Arabidopsis thaliana: one gene and its partners. The protein of the gene in region 2 binds, or shares a complex with, the protein of the main gene of each other region. Each region holds a gene or a part of one and is shown on either strand. Other genes may lie near its edges. The genes, in order: AT3G48210, AT1G61000 and AT3G54630.

What was found.
Region 1: AT1G61000 (region 2) and AT3G48210 share a complex: the UniProt entries of both Arabidopsis thaliana proteins name them as parts of the NDC80 complex.
Region 3: AT1G61000 (region 2) and AT3G54630 share a complex: the UniProt entries of both Arabidopsis thaliana proteins name them as parts of the NDC80 complex.

What each region holds. Positions count from the first base shown.
Region 1 is NC_003074.8:17,846,502-17,852,750, forward strand, and holds AT3G48210 (kinetochore protein), read left to right. Parts: upstream 1-2,849; 5' UTR 2,850-2,933; coding exon 2,934-3,117; intron 3,118-3,285; coding exon 3,286-3,351; intron 3,352-3,497; coding exon 3,498-3,644; intron 3,645-3,811; coding exon 3,812-3,925; intron 3,926-4,018; coding exon 4,019-4,108; intron 4,109-4,216; coding exon 4,217-4,339; intron 4,340-4,457; coding exon 4,458-4,669; intron 4,670-4,883; coding exon 4,884-4,895; 3' UTR 4,896-5,284; downstream 5,285-6,249. Other genes in the region: AT3G48209 (Plant thionin family protein), read left to right, coding at 1,180-1,383; AT3G48220 (F-box protein), read right to left, coding at 5,783-6,249. UniProt on the Arabidopsis thaliana protein: Acts as a component of the essential kinetochore-associated NDC80 complex, which is required for chromosome segregation and spindle checkpoint activity to ensure proper cell division.
Region 2 is NC_003070.9:22,469,782-22,476,990, reverse strand, and holds AT1G61000 (kinetochore protein), read left to right. Parts: upstream 1-2,803; 5' UTR 2,804-2,944; coding exon 2,945-3,108; intron 3,109-3,362; coding exon 3,363-3,581; intron 3,582-3,699; coding exon 3,700-3,790; intron 3,791-3,857; coding exon 3,858-4,037; intron 4,038-4,209; coding exon 4,210-4,299; intron 4,300-4,379; coding exon 4,380-4,487; intron 4,488-4,908; coding exon 4,909-4,962; intron 4,963-5,129; coding exon 5,130-5,244; intron 5,245-5,333; coding exon 5,334-5,491; intron 5,492-5,587; coding exon 5,588-5,683; intron 5,684-5,847; coding exon 5,848-5,895; 3' UTR 5,896-6,163; downstream 6,164-7,209. Other genes in the region: CPSF73-I (cleavage and polyadenylation specificity factor 73-I), read left to right, coding at 1-17, 107-256, 394-2,037; AT1G60995 (S3 self-incompatibility locus-linked pollen protein), read left to right, coding at 6,416-6,568, 7,119-7,181. UniProt on the Arabidopsis thaliana protein: Acts as a component of the essential kinetochore-associated NDC80 complex, which is required for chromosome segregation and spindle checkpoint activity to ensure proper cell division.
Region 3 is NC_003074.8:20,219,997-20,225,917, reverse strand, and holds AT3G54630 (kinetochore protein), read left to right. Parts: upstream 1-2,889; 5' UTR 2,890-3,016; coding exon 3,017-4,723; 3' UTR 4,724-4,821; downstream 4,822-5,921. Other genes in the region: TSA1 (tryptophan synthase alpha chain), read left to right, coding at 615-803, 1,058-1,204, 1,298-1,363, 1,456-1,641, 1,971-2,048, 2,142-2,219, 2,316-2,375, 2,453-2,587; BZIP25 (basic leucine zipper 25), read left to right, coding at 5,577-5,921. UniProt on the Arabidopsis thaliana protein: Acts as a component of the essential kinetochore-associated NDC80 complex, which is required for chromosome segregation and spindle checkpoint activity to ensure proper cell division.

The DNA of each region.
Region 1 (6,249 bases), on a different chromosome or scaffold from region 2:
GTAAGTCATAAAACACTTGGATGTTTAGATGTGTTCTTGGCATGTTTGTTTCTACAGATTTTTTTTTAATACATGAATTCACAGTTCAGTTCGGCGGATTTTCAGTTTGAGTTTATAAACAAAATTAAATTGATCAGATGAAAATATACCATATCAAATGTCAAGTTACTAAATGGTGCAAAATCCAAAGATACAGTATTAGTGGTGGGTCTATTTGTGACCTCTTAAAAAAAAAATAACTCACTTCATTAATCCATTTTAATCACACAAATGAAAGATTTACTTATAGTCCACTAACTCACTCAGACGTACAAAAATTAACCACCATCTCTTAAATAAGTCATATTTATATCATCCGTTTTATTTTCAAAATTTCAAACAATCTCAAATGACACACAAAAAATTACTATACAATTGCGTGTATTATTCAAACATTTGACCAATTTGATATTTAAAATTAAACAGAACATTCAAACTGGTCAAATGCTTGAATGTTTGAACAATGCATTCAAATGTGATGTTTAAAATCACGGCTAATAGGAACTAAAATCCAGATTTAGATCGGTTTGTTGTCCAAAACCTCGAATTGTCGAGGCGGCCCATTAAAAACTAGTGCACTCGAATTTTCTTCAGGTATTTTCACTTTGACGCGCACACACACTTTACATCACCACATCAGCATGTAATCAATTAAAACCCACATCCATCAATCATCATTACCTAAAATTTGCTAAATTAAACTTCAACTGTTTCTCCATTTTGTTTGCCGCCAGGCTACGCTATTGAACTTCAATTGTCCAGTTAGATTTGTTTCTCTTCTAGCATAATCTCATGCATGTACATTTATATATGTGTACTCTGGCAACTGACTTTTTTTCTTCTTTCTAACCTTCAATATAAATATTATATGAAACTTGAAAGTAATTATATATATCAAAAGAAATCTAATTAGAACCATTATAAGTAATAAAGAAAAATGTTGACAAAAACAAACTTGCAAAAGTAATAAAGAAAATTTTAATATTTTTAATTATAGTCTAGTCAAACTTTAAATTAATGATTTTAACTTTTCTGGACATTAGTTTTATATATACTACACACACACCTATGACAAAAAAGACATGTATACGTAAACATACACTTACAGGGAAAAAATTAAAGGAAAGAAACTAAAAAAAAATGGAGATGAAGAAATGTAGTATGATCATGATGATAATGATGATGGTGGTGATGGCATCCATACGAGGAGGAGAAGCAATTATAATAAGAACAACATGCAAGCAAATGTGCATCGACCAATGTGGTGGCCGCATCACTGTCCCTGAGACCCCTTGTCTCCGTAAATGTCTTCACGAAAAATGTGGCTTTCCAGCTCCTCCGTAATAATTCGTAACCTCGTATATATTTACGTATATTGATCAAGTATACCTTTTAATTTGTGTTGACTAATAATTTATATTTATCGCGACATTGCAGGATGGAGGCTGTAGGAATGGAAAACCTCATAGGATAGATCCTCATATCCTCAGTTTACTTTTCATAAGTTATTGTTGTGGAAGGAAAGAATTACAATAATTAAGAGTAATGAACAAAAACTCAGTTTACTTTTCATAAGAAATTTTGATGTGTACAATGATTTTTTCCTATGATCATAAAGATTTCCGAGGCCAAAATTAGGGTCAACATTCATTCATATTGGATTTGAACCTTATTTTGATCCTTATAAAGACTTTCTTCGATCGATTTACTTCATCCATATTTTATGGCCCTTTCTCCTTCGACAACAACGCATTAATTCTCAGGACGGGTGCGTTGCAATGTAAAAAGTTCTTTCGAAATATTTCATCCGATTAGTTTTCCTCAAAAGTATTAGTTTCAATTAAATTAAAGATAATAGCCTAATTATAAGATAATAGCTTAATTATAAAGCCAGCCAGATTACTTCAAGTTGAAGTAATCAAGCAAACTATCTAACACTGATAATTCGTTTAAGCTCCGATGCTATATATCTAGCACATGGTTAATGCTATAACAAGTTAACACCCTCTGCATGGTCCAATATCTATAAAAATTCTAAACAGAACAAATTAATGTACAAACACAGAACAAAATAATGTACAAAACACATTTTTGTCCCTTTTGCTTACTTACACAGTAAACTCATTGTCTTATCTACTCATTACAGGTTTTATTGAATTAATTATCAAAAACATACGCACCCATTTCTACTGATATATAGTGAAAATACTCTAATTTATTATTTTAAAAAAAAAAACACTTTGCAGGTCTAAAGTGAGCTAGGGACGTGAAAAAACTGAAAATACATATTGAAACTAGACGAAGGAATTGTTATGTTCAATATGTATTTAGTGTTAATTAAAAGACTAGTTGCTTGAAGGAAGAGAAGACATGCAATGATGCAATGCAGAAAACGTAGTTAATGCATTAAAAGAGTCTTTGACTCTCTAAAGTGTAACCGTAGTATTCGGTTTTGTCAGCTCCTTCGGCTAACTAATTAAAATCCTAACGGTTCAATTTTCAACCTTTCACACACTATTCAATATTACTATTTTCCGAAAAATTGGTATGATAAAAATAATATTATTGTAACTATATTGTAAGTAAGGGTTTTGATTTAGAGCGATTAAAAATGTTATAAATCAAAATAGTGATTGATGCCAAACGCGTATTAAATCAAACGTTTGCCGATGACTGAACTACTTTCGGTAAACGAGAAACCAGACAAATGGGCCTGTCTCAGAATAGCCTTTTAAGGAGCCCAATAAATTTGGACGTAGCACGATATGAAAACGCCATCGTTTTAAAGTTCTCATCACGATGGTTCGCGTTTTGAAGCATATTTTCGAAACTCGAATCAAAATTCAAATGGCGGGCTAAACTTCGATTCAGTCTCTCTCTTTCTCTCTTTGGTGATGGAACAAATTAGCAACATCGCTGGTGGAGACACAACGAAAGAGACTATGGCGTCTCTGGGTCTCATCTGTGAGAAAGATATTCATGAACAGCGTCTTAAAATCGATTCTTTCATCGCTTCTCCTTTCCGGAGATCGATGAACTCTTTAGTGGAGCGAGCTCAAGCCACTGCTCAAAGCCAAGGTAAAATTCAAAATTCGCATAGTACCACTCAGTTCCGTATGACCCAGATCGTAAATTTCACACTTTTTTACGGTTTAGGCTCTGTCTCTCTGAAATTAGGGTTTTAAAATTTCGACATCAGACTGGTAAAATTGAGCGGTTCTGTGAAATGTTTCTTTGATTTTACAGTGGAACTAATGAATTTGAAAGCGGATCTGAGAGAAGCAGAGGATGAGCTAGTTAAAGTGTTGGCAGGTATTATTACCTCAAAAGCTTGAAACTTTGAACTTAGTTTCTTAAATCATAAGATTCTCCTTGGTGTTATTTTCATGCTTACATACATTGTTTTGCTGAGTTTGGATATCTTACTGTCTTTGGGATGTTATATGTTTGATGTTTAGTGAAAACCCGTAAAGAGGCACGGCAAATGGGGATAAGAGATTCCATTTCTGCAACACAATCTAGGATTGAAGTACTTAGAAGAAATTTGCAGCTACAGAAGTCAAAGAAGGATGATTCTGTGAGAATTATCTCCCAACAGTTGCAAGGTATCGTTATATAATTCTGAAGTTCATTATACATACAAGTTTCATGAGTCAGCTACATGCTTTGGGATTTTGTAAAGTGAAGATATCTATAAAAAGTACTCTGCTTGTTTCAATAAGAGATCACATGAATCACTGAAGACCAAGCTAACATATTTCTTCCAATAAAGCCTTGTCAAAATCGAAGGACAACGCTGGTAAAGTCACCGAAGACAAAGCAGATATTCATGAAGCAATCTCTTGGTATAATCATGCTCTCGGTTTTCACGTTGAAGCTGGACATGGTAATAGAGACATTTTGAGTTTGTAACAATCTTAGTTCTATATTACTAAACCTTAGCCCTAAAAGAGCTTTGTTGTTTTAACTTCTCTTACAGGAGTTAAATTCACATTCACCAACATTGATGCAAAAAGGCCGACCCGCGAATTTTCGTTCACAGTTCACTATGGAAATGACATCTACACACGTGAGTATATATATGTCTTCTTGAAGCAAGCATCAACTACATTATAATGTTTACAAAAAAACCTAGTAATATGAACTGTTTACAGTCGTTTACTTATATGATCATCAGTATTGGATAGCGATCTGCAATTGGATTACATCAACGAGATGGTTCAAGAATTGAATAAAACCAATGACCTTTTCAGATTTGTTCGTCTGATGAGGGAGCAGTTTCTGAAATCCACTTTATCTGGTAAATTGTCTCAAGCCTATCCTTTTATAACCTCTATCTCCATAAGTGAGAAATCTTATTTTCGATATATATAAAAGTTGAATATGACCAAGACTTGTGTTTTATTGGATTTTGTCAGAGCTGCCAACACATTCAGGACAACTGCAACAGGAAACGTCTGCCATATCTGCTTCAGCTCCAGCTATATCATTTTCCACTGATACAAACATGTCAACTCCAGAAAACAAAAGATCTAAGGTTCAAGTGAATCGGCGACAAAAAAGAGGTAGCGAATCACCACTCCTAGCTCCTGTATCCACATCTGCCACTCGCCGTTCTTCTCGCTTTAAGGTACTGGATACTCATTGTGTTCTTAAATGTTACAACACCAAACCAAATTCAAAATATTTGTTAGATACTATAGTTTCCAAAAGTAGGATACCAGAACCTATTTGCATAACAACTGGACATAATAATGTTCTATCTGATTAATAATACTTAACTGATCACATGGAGCCTATAGTATTTAACATACAACTTATATAGCAACTCTAACTTGTTACAGGGTAAGAAATGAAGGTGGAGCTCTGTTTTCCTTTTCACAAGCATCAAGGAATAAACTTAAGCGTAGATGATGCTGCGGAACTTTCGACAACAACAGATTGTTGTTTGAAATTCCTATAAATATTAGAATGTCATTGTAATCACGCTTATTGACAATGTTGATTTCTTTACTAGTGTGGATGCTATGCTTATACACCAATCGATGATGGAGCTTGTGGGACTAGATTTTAATCGATGTAATCTCGCGCTTCTCTATTTCTAGATTTCGTTAGCTAATGGATGCTTGTCTAGCTTCATTAAGATTGCGCATTAGAGATAATGATGGATACTTGAGCCATAGATTGTGCATTAGAGATGTACAGTTTATGCAATTTTAAAACTAAAAATATAGCCACAACCATATTTTCTATCTTAAATTAGACAAGAAAACAAATCAAACACCATTCTCCAACTCGTTGTTCCTCTTGAAACGACTCTTCACCTCGCTCATGAAGGCGAAGAAGGGATTTGGTGTAGCCAACGCGGGAGAACGAACATGGAAAAGTATAAGTGATAAAGGTCTTCCAACATGTTACAATCCCCAGCAAAACTCAGAGTTTGATAATCTTTGCAACATTCCAAGCTGTTGTGAAGCCCGAACTTGTCTTTACGCAAATTAGTAGACCCCAAACATGAATGCATCTTGCACCACATGTACATTGTATTAGCATCAAAAGGGTTTATTGCCAGCGGAATGTAATCAAAACCAGTCTCACTACAAGCTAGAGATATTTCAGATACTATTTCCCATTCCCGGCTCTTTAGCCTCCATACACGTAACTTATGCTCTACATGTGCATCATCTTTGTCTTGGGAGAAGATGTTCATGTACATGATATATCCTTGAGATGTTGTGCAAACTCATTTTAAATTTGGTGGTTTCGTTCCACCGTCAGGGAAAGGTGTAACTTGGCATCGATCAGATTCCGTGCCAGTCGCGTAGAAATCATGGAACACAACAACCTCTCCATAGTCGTTGTTGTAGCCTATCCAGTAAAGGTTTCCATACAAGCTAACAGGGTTGTAATCTATCAGACCAGACAAAGTGAGATGAGATTGGAGGGTTTTGAAACTCCATAACCCTGTCTCGGATGAATATATCAGTAAACTTATGACATCGTCCAAGTTACTTGTATCCATCAAAACAACTTTGTAACCTAAAACGACGTGATCCTCAAGTTTTGTGACAAGCCCAGAGGTTAAAAAATAACCAACTGTTGGAGGAGGCTGAGGGATTTCGACACATTGTCTTGAGATCGGATTAGCCACATAGTAAGTTAGTAATTTGTTGCCAGAGCTGATCAAAATCAATCCAACATGAGTGTAAG
Region 2 (7,209 bases):
CTTATTTTCTGGAGAAGGTTTGTTTCTCTTTTCAAAATGATTTTGTTTTTTGGGATGTGTTAAAACATAGCTGAGAACTAATTCAGGTTATTGATGTTTTGATCAGACGACATTCAATGGGCGGGTTTTCATGACACATGCAACAAAGGCCATCTACAAGCTGTTGCTTACAGATTATGTAAAAGTGAGCAAAGTGTCTGTGGAAGATATGTTGTTCGATGAACAAGACATCAACAAGTCTATGGACAAAATTGAGGTTAGTACTGCATTATATTCTATGACTATGTTTATACTTTGACTGCTCCACTAGGTTTGGGATAAGTTCAAAAGAAATTAAATCTGCTTCAAAACTGTGATTGTTGAGTTAAGGTTTATATTTGATTTCCTCTATAGGTAATTGACTTCCATCAAACAGTTGAAGTGAATGGCATAAAGTTCTGGTGTTACACGGCAGGCCATGTTTTGGGTGCAGCCATGTTTATGGTGGATATAGCTGGTGTCCGAATCCTCTATACAGGCGACTATTCCCGTGAGGAAGACCGACATCTGAGAGCAGCTGAGCTTCCTCAATTCTCCCCTGACATATGCATCATTGAATCCACTTCTGGTGTCCAGCTTCATCAATCTCGTCATATTCGTGAGAAACGCTTCACTGATGTAATCCATTCAACGGTTGCTCAGGGTGGACGTGTGCTGATCCCGGCTTTTGCACTGGGCCGTGCTCAGGAACTTCTCTTGATTCTTGATGAATACTGGGCGAACCACCCAGATCTACACAATATCCCAATCTACTATGCATCACCACTCGCCAAAAAGTGTATGGCGGTTTACCAAACCTACATATTATCTATGAACGACAGAATCCGCAACCAGTTTGCAAATTCTAATCCGTTTGTGTTCAAGCACATTTCTCCATTAAACAGCATCGATGATTTTAATGATGTCGGTCCATCTGTGGTAATGGCTACTCCTGGAGGTCTTCAAAGCGGTCTCTCAAGGCAACTCTTTGACAGCTGGTGTTCAGATAAGAAGAATGCTTGTATCATACCAGGTTATATGGTGGAAGGTACACTGGCCAAGACGATAATTAATGAACCAAAGGAGGTGACTCTTATGAATGGTCTTACTGCTCCGCTCAACATGCAAGTGCACTATATATCGTTCTCTGCTCATGCAGATTACGCGCAGACGAGCACGTTCTTGAAAGAGCTCATGCCTCCTAACATCATCCTTGTTCACGGTGAAGCTAACGAGATGATGAGGCTCAAACAGAAGCTCTTAACAGAGTTTCCTGATGGAAACACAAAGATCATGACCCCGAAGAACTGTGAGTCAGTGGAAATGTATTTTAATTCTGAGAAATTGGCGAAAACCATTGGGAGATTGGCGGAAAAGACACCTGATGTTGGCGATACAGTAAGCGGGATTCTGGTGAAGAAAGGGTTCACTTATCAGATAATGGCACCTGACGAACTCCATGTTTTCTCACAGCTATCAACAGCAACTGTAACTCAGCGAATTACAATCCCGTTTGTAGGAGCTTTTGGTGTGATAAAACATCGCCTGGAGAAGATTTTCGAGAGCGTGGAATTTTCAACAGATGAGGAATCGGGGCTTCCAGCACTGAAAGTTCATGAAAGAGTAACGGTGAAACAAGAGTCAGAGAAGCACATCTCACTTCAGTGGTCATCAGATCCAATAAGTGACATGGTTTCAGACTCCATTGTAGCTCTGATTCTCAACATCAGCCGAGAAGTCCCCAAGATCGTTATGGAAGAAGAAGATGCTGTGAAATCCGAGGAAGAGAACGGGAAGAAAGTTGAGAAAGTGATATACGCACTTCTTGTTTCGCTTTTCGGGGATGTGAAACTAGGAGAAAACGGGAAACTGGTGATTAGGGTCGATGGCAATGTCGCTCAGCTGGATAAAGAGAGTGGAGAGGTAGAGAGTGAGCATTCAGGTCTTAAGGAAAGAGTGAGAGTAGCTTTTGAGCGGATTCAGAGCGCTGTGAAACCAATCCCTCTCTCAGCTTCTTAGTAGCTTTTTAAAGTCATCGTTGAGGTATCTTAAATCATCATAGAGTTTTATCCATCTGATGATGTTTCTGTTCCCATGTTTAGTAATAGTGAATGATCAAGTCTAATGGATGTTATTTAAGAAGGTGTTTATTGAGAAACTTTGCTACTACCCTACTGTGATAATGATCAAGTCTTATGGATGTTATCAACTATGAGTTTTTAACTTTTTTAGGTTTTTTCATAAATCATTTTGCTGATTCGTGCTTTTCCCATATGCATTTTTCTATCATTATGCTGATCTAGGATATGGAAGCAAAAGCTTTGTGGTGCATCAAGTTAAGAGGTTTCTAAAGTTAAAAAAGTACTAGGCTTCTTCCAGATTCTTTGTAAGACATATTAGTGAGCCTTGCTTTTGATATTTGCAGTTTCATGAATACACGGTGTCGTTTGATGCGTTTCTACCAAGCCTCTAAAGTACAAGGCAGGTCTGATTGAGCTAAAGTAAGGTAGAAGAGAGATTGTAATGAGCACATTTTCTATTATTTTTCCACGTACAAAGTATACATTATTCACATCAGTGAATGTCTCTTGACCTCTATGTTTTGGCAAGATGTCTAGTGCATCAAGATATTAAGACCAAATCTCTACAATATTAAAATGCTTAATTTTTTTTTTTGTAGATTAAAGTTTCTTTTTTAATTTTATTTATAAAAGCTTCTACGTTCTACCGTATCCAAATATGCATCAATATCTGCAGAGACTGCAGTTTCATATAGGCGGGAAAAGCAAATGCAAAAAACAAATCGAACCTGACCCAACTAAAATCAAAGGCTCTCTTTTTTTTTTTTCATTTCTTTCCAAATTGTCATTTTCAGTTTCTTCGAATCCAGACACAACAAATCCGAACCTGACCAAAACTGAAAACTATGTCAGCCTACGAGTACCCGAGGCTCTCTCGTTCCGACATTATCACGGCGCTCAAGGATGCTCAAATCGCTAGCGTTACAGAGACCGATCTCAAAACCCCAACTTCCGACTTTGTCTCCGAGCTTTACACCAGAATTCTTATCTATCTCGACGCCCTCGACGAGTATGTACTCCTCAAAACCCTAGTTCCTCTCTTAGCTCTTCACTCAATTTTACCCTCGATTTTGAAACTCTTCGTCTAGTTTCGAGCTAGGTCATCGAATTCTGTCAGAAATTATGTTAAATATTGAATCTTTGGGATTTTCTATTTTTGATTGTATGAACTGCTAAGTAATTTTGAAAACCCTATTTTTTGTTTCAATTTGGGGGAATTTCTGATGATGCTTCTTTTTTGAATTGCGTTTTTCGACATTGTAGAGAAGAGAAAGGGCAAGTTGATTTTGAGGCTTTGGAGCAATTGGAGAATCCAGATCATCATGCCACTTCAATGCAAGCTATGAAGCTTTATTGCAAAGTGAAAGATATGTTAGAAATGCTTGATTGTCCATTACCAATTAGTTTCAAGGATCTCTTACGCCCTGAATCATCCCGAACCGAGTTTTTCATCAGCGCACTTTTGAACTATGGTCTATACAAGTATGTCCTTCATGCTCTTAGTTCTTCTCTGTAGTATCTATTTCGATGCACCAAGAAGTTAAAATAGAGAGTTCTTATTTGTCCCACTTGATCTTCTTTAATCTTTTTTTCGTACCAGAGACTCGAAAATGGATCTTATAAGACCAAAGGCAGAAGAGTTGGGTCTCCTTGATGAGCAGCGAAAGCAGTGTGAGGCAAAGGTTGCTCAGGTAATGCAAGAAAAATATGTATCCCATAGATAAGTCATTTATCTTTTTCTAAAAGCTGTACATGCAGTTGAATGCAGAGATTGGAGAATTTGATGAAGCCGTTGAGAGGGACTTACCTTTTGTCCAAGAGCTAGAAGCGAACATTGAACAACTGAATAAAAAAATATTGGAACTAAATAATCAGCAGATGTCACTGCGAGCTACCTTCCAGAAAATGAGAGAGAAGAGTACACAGATGGATAACGAGGTACGTAACCGCAGGATATGGTGTCGAGCTCCTTCCTCAAACTAAATTGGGTTATTTGTAATTTATTATGAAGTTGGTGAAGAAACAAATTTTGTTTGTCAATTAGGTGATTTGCATATGCTTGAACTTGAGAGGCGTTTTCTGCTCCTGACATGTGTATTTCTCTCTACAGATTTCCAAAGCAGAGTTTGATCTTGTGGAAACTGTCCAAGAAAATGCAAACCTCCGCTCACAAATTGTTCAATCACCGGACAAATTGCAGGTATATTTTTATTCCAACTAGTACTAGTCCTAAGATAAACTTTTGGTATACACTAGTATAAACGTTTGTTGTGGAGACAGGGAGCTTTAGAAGAGAAGAAACTAGTACTTGGGGAAACAAAGAAAGCTGAACAATCAGCAATGGTAACTTTCCAGGAAAAGGCTGCCATTCTTGAGGTTTTTGAAAAGGTATCTAATGAAAACTCTAGATTGTTACTAAATCCTGTCGCTTAGCAAGTAGCTAAATGCATTTACGACATTTGCAACTTAATGGTCACTGCGGATACTGCTCTCAAACCAGTTTTTAGAGAAGGATATTTCAAGTCATTATTCTTCTAAGTTTGGTGTGTTTATTGCTCTATCACTTTTGTTCATACTTCATGAAATTCTGTCCAGAAGCTTTAGGAAGAACTTCTTTTATTTTGTTGTATAGTGGATGAGAATGATCCCAAGATGGAAAATATTAGATTGAGACCTTATTCTGTGTTGTTACTTCAAAATTTTCTTATGTTTTGTCTTGCAACAGTTTTATGCTTTATTTTTGAGTCGAATAAGTTTTGCTTTAATATTGAGGTAATAAAGTTTATTCAACTATGGTTGCCTTTTGCAGGCCTTGAAGAAAATTTTAAAGTCATCTTCGCAACTGCAGTTAATAAACGAACAGGTGACCAAGCAAAAAAACTCCTTTCCTCTTTCATTGCTTATAGATTGTGAACCATGTATTGTATCTCTAGCATGTGGCAACACACAGATCCTTCCAATTATTGGAATGAGATCTAATGTGTCTTTAGATTTATCTTTCATTTTTATGTATATTTGATGATGTTACAGGTAACCAATGCGAAAACGGTTGAGAAAGAATTCAAAGCTCTTAAAGATAAGCTGAGTGAGGATGGGGTAGCATACAAATCACTTGAGGCGAAAGTGGTTGAGCGGGAAAGAATAGGCAAGTGTTGGTTTATTTCTTCCTTCTTCAGATATTGTTTCTGAATTTTGTTTTGGGACGGAGACTGTAATCATCTCTTCTGTCAACAGTGGAACAGTTGAACGAATCATTGAAACAACTAGAGAAAGAAAAAGCAGTCATGTTTGATGATTGGACGAAACAGTTGAATGAATTAAAAGTGGAGGTTGAATCCAGAAGACGTGAACTTGAAACCAGGCAAACGAATGTTGAATCAGTAGTAGCTATGGTATTGCTTCCTTTCTATCGAACATCTAACAACGTGAATCTGTTGTGCACGATGCTTTATCATCTCCGTAAGTTTTATTTGTTTATATATCAACAGGTTGATGACAATACTGCGAAGACTAACCAGGTGAGACAGTCAGGAGAAGCTAAAGTTAAAAAACTAGCCGCTAAATATGAAGAGATCGTGAAGCAGGTTTATTTCGTTTCCATTATTTTTATCTGCTAATATATTGAACCATGGAAACAAAAGCTTTGTGGTGCATCAAGTTAAAGAGGTTTCCAAAGTTAAAAAGCTACTAGGGTTCTTCCAGATTCTCTGTAAGACATATTAGTGAGCCTTGCTTTTGATATTTGCAGTTTCATGAATACACGGTGTCGTTTGATGCGTTTCTACCAAGCCTCTAAAGGACAAGGAAGGTCTGATTCATCTAAATTAAGGTAGACGAGAGATTGTAATGAGCACATTTTCTCTGCAAATGGTTAAGAATTTGACTACTAAATTCCTCTTGTGATTGTATTAAAGTTGGAAAATGTTATGAATTTCTCTTCATGGAAATGGCATGTATTGAAGTAGTTTATAAAAGAATGTTAACAGAAAAAAAATGAAGAGAAAATGAGAGCTTTATGGTTGTGTTGAAGGAATCGAACTCTTGTCCTGGAAGCAAAAGAATCCTATCGCTTTCCCAATTGCGCCACTCTCACTAGGGATTTTTGAAGAAAAATAAAAACAATTTAACAGCAAACAAAGTGTAAAATTTGCTTCGCGGTGCTTTTCTTTTCAATCATCTTCACTCTTCAATTTCTGTGGATTCGACAATCTCCCAGAACGAGAAGAAATCTACGATCCTCGCAACGGAGCAATTCAAATTCGATGACTACGTAGTGTTAACGAAGAAGACGAAAAAGTGCATCGGAGATCCGAAATATGGATCCGGAGCAGACGTTTATTAGGGTTCAGGAGAGGTTTTCGCAGATCTTAACGCCAAGGATTAGAGGTTTCTTAGAGTATACTTACCTCTTCGTTGCCATCACTTTGTTCTGTATCCTCGTTGTTATGCACGCCAATTATGTTCAGCAGGTAATTTTTGACTCTCGTATTGAATCCTTTAATTTATAGGTCGTTTTTAGTGCAAATTGCCTTTGTTAATGACTTCATTGTTGAAATTTTAAGTCTGAGATACTACAATTTGAAAAGGATGATGTAGCATTTTTCTGTGTTAGGAGTAATCTGATATGAATTGTGGAGCTTAAGCTAATTCTGTAGAACATGTTCGCATGAGCGTGGTTAGGAGACTACTGTTTGTATCTTTACTAAGGTTGCACTGGTCATAATTATATAAATCCGACGGAAGATACTTTTCTGATTTCTTTGTGTTTATGTTTATGTAAACATTAGTACACTTTCCAATAGGAATTACGGCCTATGCAAATGCATTTGAATACTTCTAAGATTGCAAACTTCAAAAATCAAATATCTGTTGGCTTAGCTCTCTTCTACTTTAAGAGTTTCGTGTAGTGTGCATGCCTTCCTAAGATTTATCTTTGCTAGACTCTCCTAAGCTTCTCTTATCTGACCATTATTGTTTCTCTCTAACTAATTTCGTTAATTTTTTTGATTATTATTAAAGCCTGGTTGTTCAAGTGAGCTGACTGGAGTTGAGTTAGCTGAAGCAGAGCTTATGCAAATCAAGGTATGTAGCTATTATCGCTTCTGATGCT
Region 3 (5,921 bases), on a different chromosome or scaffold from region 2:
TCTCTTCTGTTGTTTCACTTATCAACTTTACATGTTTATCATTGTTCTCCAATTGCTTCGAATAAATTGTATGATAACATTCTGTATTTGTTTAAATTATATACTACTAGAGTACTAGGGGTATTTTCTTTGATTTCAGACTTTTGTTTATGATTTGTTACTTGTTTCACATAAGAATAATTGGTCAAATTTATTTGGTCTCTCTTTCTCGCAAATCATATACAATATACAACTCTAATCTTCTCCACCAAACTCTAATCTTGTTCATCTTTTTTTATTCAAATAGTTTAGAAAGTTCAAATATACTAATCTTTATCAAAGAATAATCTTTAGTCAAATTTTAATAATGAAATCAAATATCTTACAAAATGGAAAAACAAAAATATGGGTGTTTGATTTTTACAAAACAAAGATGGAAGAGCAAGTCAGAAGTCAAAATAGCTCGAAGATGTAAGTGACGGCGCCTGAATACTCTTGGCTGGTAGATTTCACCTACCTCATTTTTTTCATATATCTCAAACGTGGAATCGCTGTTACTCAGTTTTTATATATAAAAATAAACACTCGCTCTTCTTCAACCAAACTCATTTCCAAAATTCCACAAAGTTTTTCAAATGGCGATTGCTTTCAAATCCGGCGTCTTCTTCCTCCAATCCCCAAAATCTCAAATTGGATTCCGCCATTCTTCTCCTCCTGATTCATCGCTTTCTTTCAAGAGATTCACTCCCATGGCTTCTCTCTCCACCTCTTCTCCTACTCTCGGTCTCGCTGATACTTTCACACAGCTCAAAAAACAAGGCAAAGTACGTTAATTCTCCGTCTTTCATATTCCAATCCGTTCCTCAAGAATTGGACTTTTAAAACTTATCGTTAGTTCTGGTGGGAAATTTGGATTTGAAAGAATCACAAAACCATGTGTTGTTATTGCTTATGAATTCTTCTTATCAGATTGAGTTAGCATTGAGTTTGATTAGGTTTGCAATCTTGGTCTTACTGATACGATTGGATTTTGTAATTTACAGTTCATTTGCAATTTGTTTAACTTTTATGTGTGAAGGTAGCATTCATACCATATATCACAGCTGGTGATCCGGATCTCTCTACTACTGCTGAAGCATTGAAAGTTCTTGATGCTTGTGGTTCTGACATAATCGAATTGGGTGTTCCTTACTCTGACCCTTTAGCTGATGGACCTGTTATTCAGGTTTAAACCAACTATCAAAATGCAACCTTTATATATGCTTCCCTTGCCTTTTTTTTGTTTGATCATCTTGCTCTTTGTTATCTATTCAACTAGGCTGCGGCAACAAGGTCGTTGGAGAGGGGAACAAACCTCGATAGCATCCTTGAGATGTTGGATAAGGTGAGTTTAGTTTCTGAAGGAAAGATGTGTGTTTGTGTCCCCTGTCAGATATCGTTCCTATATGTGTGTTCTTATTGTTGGACTTGGTGCAGGTTGTTCCACAAATATCTTGTCCGATTTCGTTGTTCACGTATTACAACCCGATTCTTAAACGTGGGTTGGGGAAGTTCATGTCCAGCATCAGAGCTGTTGGTGTACAGGGACTTGTGGTTCCCGATGTTCCTCTTGAGGAAACTGAGATGCTGAGAAAAGAAGCCCTCAACAACGACATTGAGCTGGTAAGCATATAATCTGAAGGACGCATATATCTTGGTAGCATGATTCTCAGTCATGCCAGTGCAGTATAGATTCATTTGTGTATCTTATTTATTTTCTTCGTCTCCTCGAATTTGGTTTTTCTTAGCTGAACCTACGTATCATTTGTCTCTGTGGAGATTTATTTGCCAGCCTTATCAATAGAAACAGTAGAAGCATTGTTTAGTGTAGACACTGAGACTACAGTACTATACATGTGTTTTGCTGGATCTGCCTCGATCTATTTTGACATTCGGCTTTCAGTATCTTTGCCTTTTAGTAAACATAATTTTGCTCAATGTTTGTAATCAAGGTCCTACTCACTACACCAACCACACCAACAGAGCGAATGAAGCTAATTGTTGATGCGTCAGAAGGATTTATTTACCTTGTAAGATCCCTCTCAGTGTATATTTCTCTTTGCAGATGTCACATGTGTTTACTTAATTTGAGAATGTATTGGCCCTTTTTTTGGGTTTAACAGGTGAGCTCAATTGGAGTGACTGGTGCACGATCATCTGTAAGCGGAAAGGTTCAGTCGCTCTTGAAGGATATCAAAGAGGTCTAATAACAGTTTTTTTTTTAAAGATTGTTTCTCAAATATCTTGAAATGATGTAGAAATGCTCAAGTTGTTTAGTCATTTGTAATTCAATGCAGGCGACAGACAAGCCGGTGGCAGTCGGTTTTGGAATATCAAAGCCGGAGCATGTGAAACAGGTCCTAAACCTTACAAAGCTTCTCTTATGTTGTCTTCATAGTTACTTCTTTGCTGACTAGTTTTGTTGTGTCAACAGATAGCTGGATGGGGAGCTGATGGAGTGATCGTAGGCAGTGCAATGGTAAAGCTATTGGGTGATGCAAAGTCGCCAACTGAAGGACTTAAGGAGCTTGAGAAACTAACCAAGTCTCTTAAATCTGCTCTTCTTTGAAACACAAACATTTGCAGACAACATCTTTAGATTGTGTTTTTGATTATTATCGGTGTGTGACAATGATGTCTCAATCTTTTGATACATTTCAAGTATGATTAATAAGTTACTGTGACTCAAGCCACACAACCAGTTGCTCGGTTTACACAGAATAATAAAAACGTTATGACTCAAATTGTTTTCCAATTTGGTTCGATAAATTTGCGACCCGGTTTGATATTATGGTTCGATTAAACCAGAACAAAACAACCCTATATATAATTTCTTTTGAAATGAATGAGAAATAAAAAAACAAAGAAATTCGAAGAGGTTTTTTTAGGTTTTCGAAAATTCAAATTACAAAAGTAATCCATCCCGCTGCTCTATAGAAATATATTTCCCGATCCAGTTCCAGTGTCAGTTGCTTTATCTGTAAAAAGCAAAAAAGAGATGAGAGGCGGAGCCGCGGGAAAGAGAAGAACGACGGTGGGTTTCGGCGGAGCGCCGCCGCCACCTCCACCATCAATCGAGCAACAACGTCACCTCTTTAACTCAAGAGACTCCGACGCCAGTTTCGCCAGCAGCCGTCCTTCATCAATCGGTTTAGGCGGCCGAGGAGCCTCCGATGACAGATCTTCGATGATTCGATTCATTAACGCCTTCCTCTCCACACATAACTTCCCGATCTCTATCCGCGGTAATCCTGTTCCTTCTGTCAAAGACATCTCCGAAACCCTAAAATTCTTGCTCTCAGCTTTAGATTACCCTTGCGATTCCATCAAATGGGACGAGGATCTCGTCTTCTTTCTCAAATCGCAGAAATGTCCTTTTAAGATCACCAAATCTAGCCTCAAAGCTCCAAATACGCCTCACAATTGGCCTACTGTTCTCGCCGTTGTTCACTGGTTAGCTGAGCTTGCTCGTTTCCATCAACATCTAGTATCTAATTCCACCTCCGTACCCGAAGATAACTCCATGAATTTCTTCGCGATTCAAAGCTTTGGTCACTTCATTCGCGGCGAGGATGATAAGGTTAACGATTTAGATTCTCAATTTTTGGGTAAATTGGAAGCGGAGAAGACTAGCGTCGCTGAAACTATCTCTGGTTGTGAGAAAATCTCCGGTGAATTGGAGGCTAAACTTGAGTCACTGAGGAAAGGTCCTTCGAAGAAAGAGTCTCTGGAGAAAGTTAAAGCCGATTTGGAGAATGACGTAAACAAGTTCCGAACTATTGTTGTGGAGTATACTGATAGGAATCCAGCGATGGAGAAAGTTGTGGAGGAGAAAGCTAAGGAGCTCAAAGCTAAGGAAGAAGAGAGAGAGCGAATCTCTGTAGAGAATAAGGAGTTGAAGAAGAGTGTGGAGCTTCAGAACTTTAGCGCGGCGGATGTAAATAGGATGAGAAGAGAGTTACAAGCTGTGGAAAGAGATGTTGCGGATGCTGAGGTTGCTAGAGATGGTTGGGATCAGAAAGCTTGGGAACTCAATTCACAGATTAGGAATCAGTTTCATCAGATTCAGACACTTGCCATTGACTGCAACCAAGCTCTCAGGAGATTGAAGCTTGATATTCAGTTCGCTGTTAACGAGAGAGGGGAAACACCTGCAGCGGTGATGGGTGTGGATTATAAATCGGTGGTGAAGCCAGCTCTGTGTTCGTTGTGCGATGGGATCAAAGGAAGCTCGGCGGAGAAAGTGGAGGAATTGGTCACTTTACAGCACCATAAGTCTGAAATGGCTTCGAAGATCGAATCCAAAAGGAGTCTTCTTGGGTCAATTCAGTTGCAGATCAATGACCTCGAAGAAAAGATGAAGTTGGTGAAGAAGGAAACTCAGGAGTTGAGTACAAAATGTGATTTGGAGGCGAAAACATTGGTTGAGAGTGTGAAAGCTGAGGCTTTGAATCTGGAGGTTGTGGAGAAAGAAGCTGCTGAGTTTGTAAAAGCTTCGGAGCTTAGATTGCAAGAAGCAGTGAAGGAGAGTGAAGAGGAGGTCCAAGCATGTGCTGCACAACTCTTTGCACTTATCGATTCGATATCGAAACAGAAAGAGTACATGGATTCGAAGATATCGGAGATCAAAACCGGTGTTGCTGATACTGCCAGTGCTGTTTCAGAGATATACAAAGCCAACTTCAAGAAGAACCTTGGTATCTAGTGGTTGGAATCAACTGAGCCAAGAGATTGTTAAAAGCGTGAGTAATTCCTATTGCTTTTGTTCACATAGTCGTATTAGCATCTATGTGTGGTATGTATGAGTTTTCAGGATGGATAATTGAAATTGCTCAGCTATGCTAGTAGTATATAAATATCTGTGTTTCTTTTTTCATTGAAACTTAGATGATAGGCACATAATCTAATATTCACAATGTTTAACTCAAAGAACGCTGTTATGATCAAGTTACATAGGATTTCCAATGAATACACTCTTACCTTCTTTTTACCATAAGCTGACTTAGGTGACTTTGATTCTTATTCGGTTTATCCCCTCGGGTCTCTTGAAGTCAGGCTATGTTTGCAGCTCCTCGGTTGTAACCTCTTTGGGTTACCACTTTCTTCAGTCTCACTGAGTTCCTCCTTTACTTGTTTAAAGCTTGCTTACTCATGCATCATATGTGGTGAGAATATCTTACTGATGATATGAATAAGAGAGAGTAGCTATCAAATCAAGAAAATGAGAGGAAGGAGTTAAAAAAGACAAAGGAAACCTAAGCTGCTTATCTATAAAGCCAACACATTATTCTTACCCTTTTGCCCACAAAGTAAATGACACACATCAACTAAAGTAGAAATTTAAAATGCCTTTGAATGCCTTAATTTGCATTTTTATTAAATTATTAACAGAAAAAAGATATGTTGGTTAGTACTAATCCAATACAATACAGAAACGTGTCAAGTATCCTAATCAATAATGGCGGCTCCACGTAAGACAAAAACAAATTAAGGAAAGAGCGAGAGAGAGAGAGAGAGAGAAAAAAGAAGAAGAAGAATTTGAGGCGATTGGGTAAGCGATGCACATCGTCTTCTCTGTCGATGATTTGACCGAATCCTTCTGGCCTGTTCCCGCTCCGGCGCCGTCGCCGGGATCGTCATCGACTCCGTCACCGACGCAGAACGTGGCGGATGGGATGACTCGAAGTCAATCGGAGTGGGCGTTCCACAGGCTTATCAATGAGTTGTCTGGTTCCGATTCGAGCCCTACGACTAACACAATCGAGAGATCACCTCCACCGGTTCAGTCTCTTTCGAGATTAGAAGAAACCGTTGACGAAACCGAAGATGTTGTTGAGATTCAGAAACCGCAGAATCATCGACGGCTCCCTGTTGATGATCAAGGGAAGAATCGGAATCGTGCT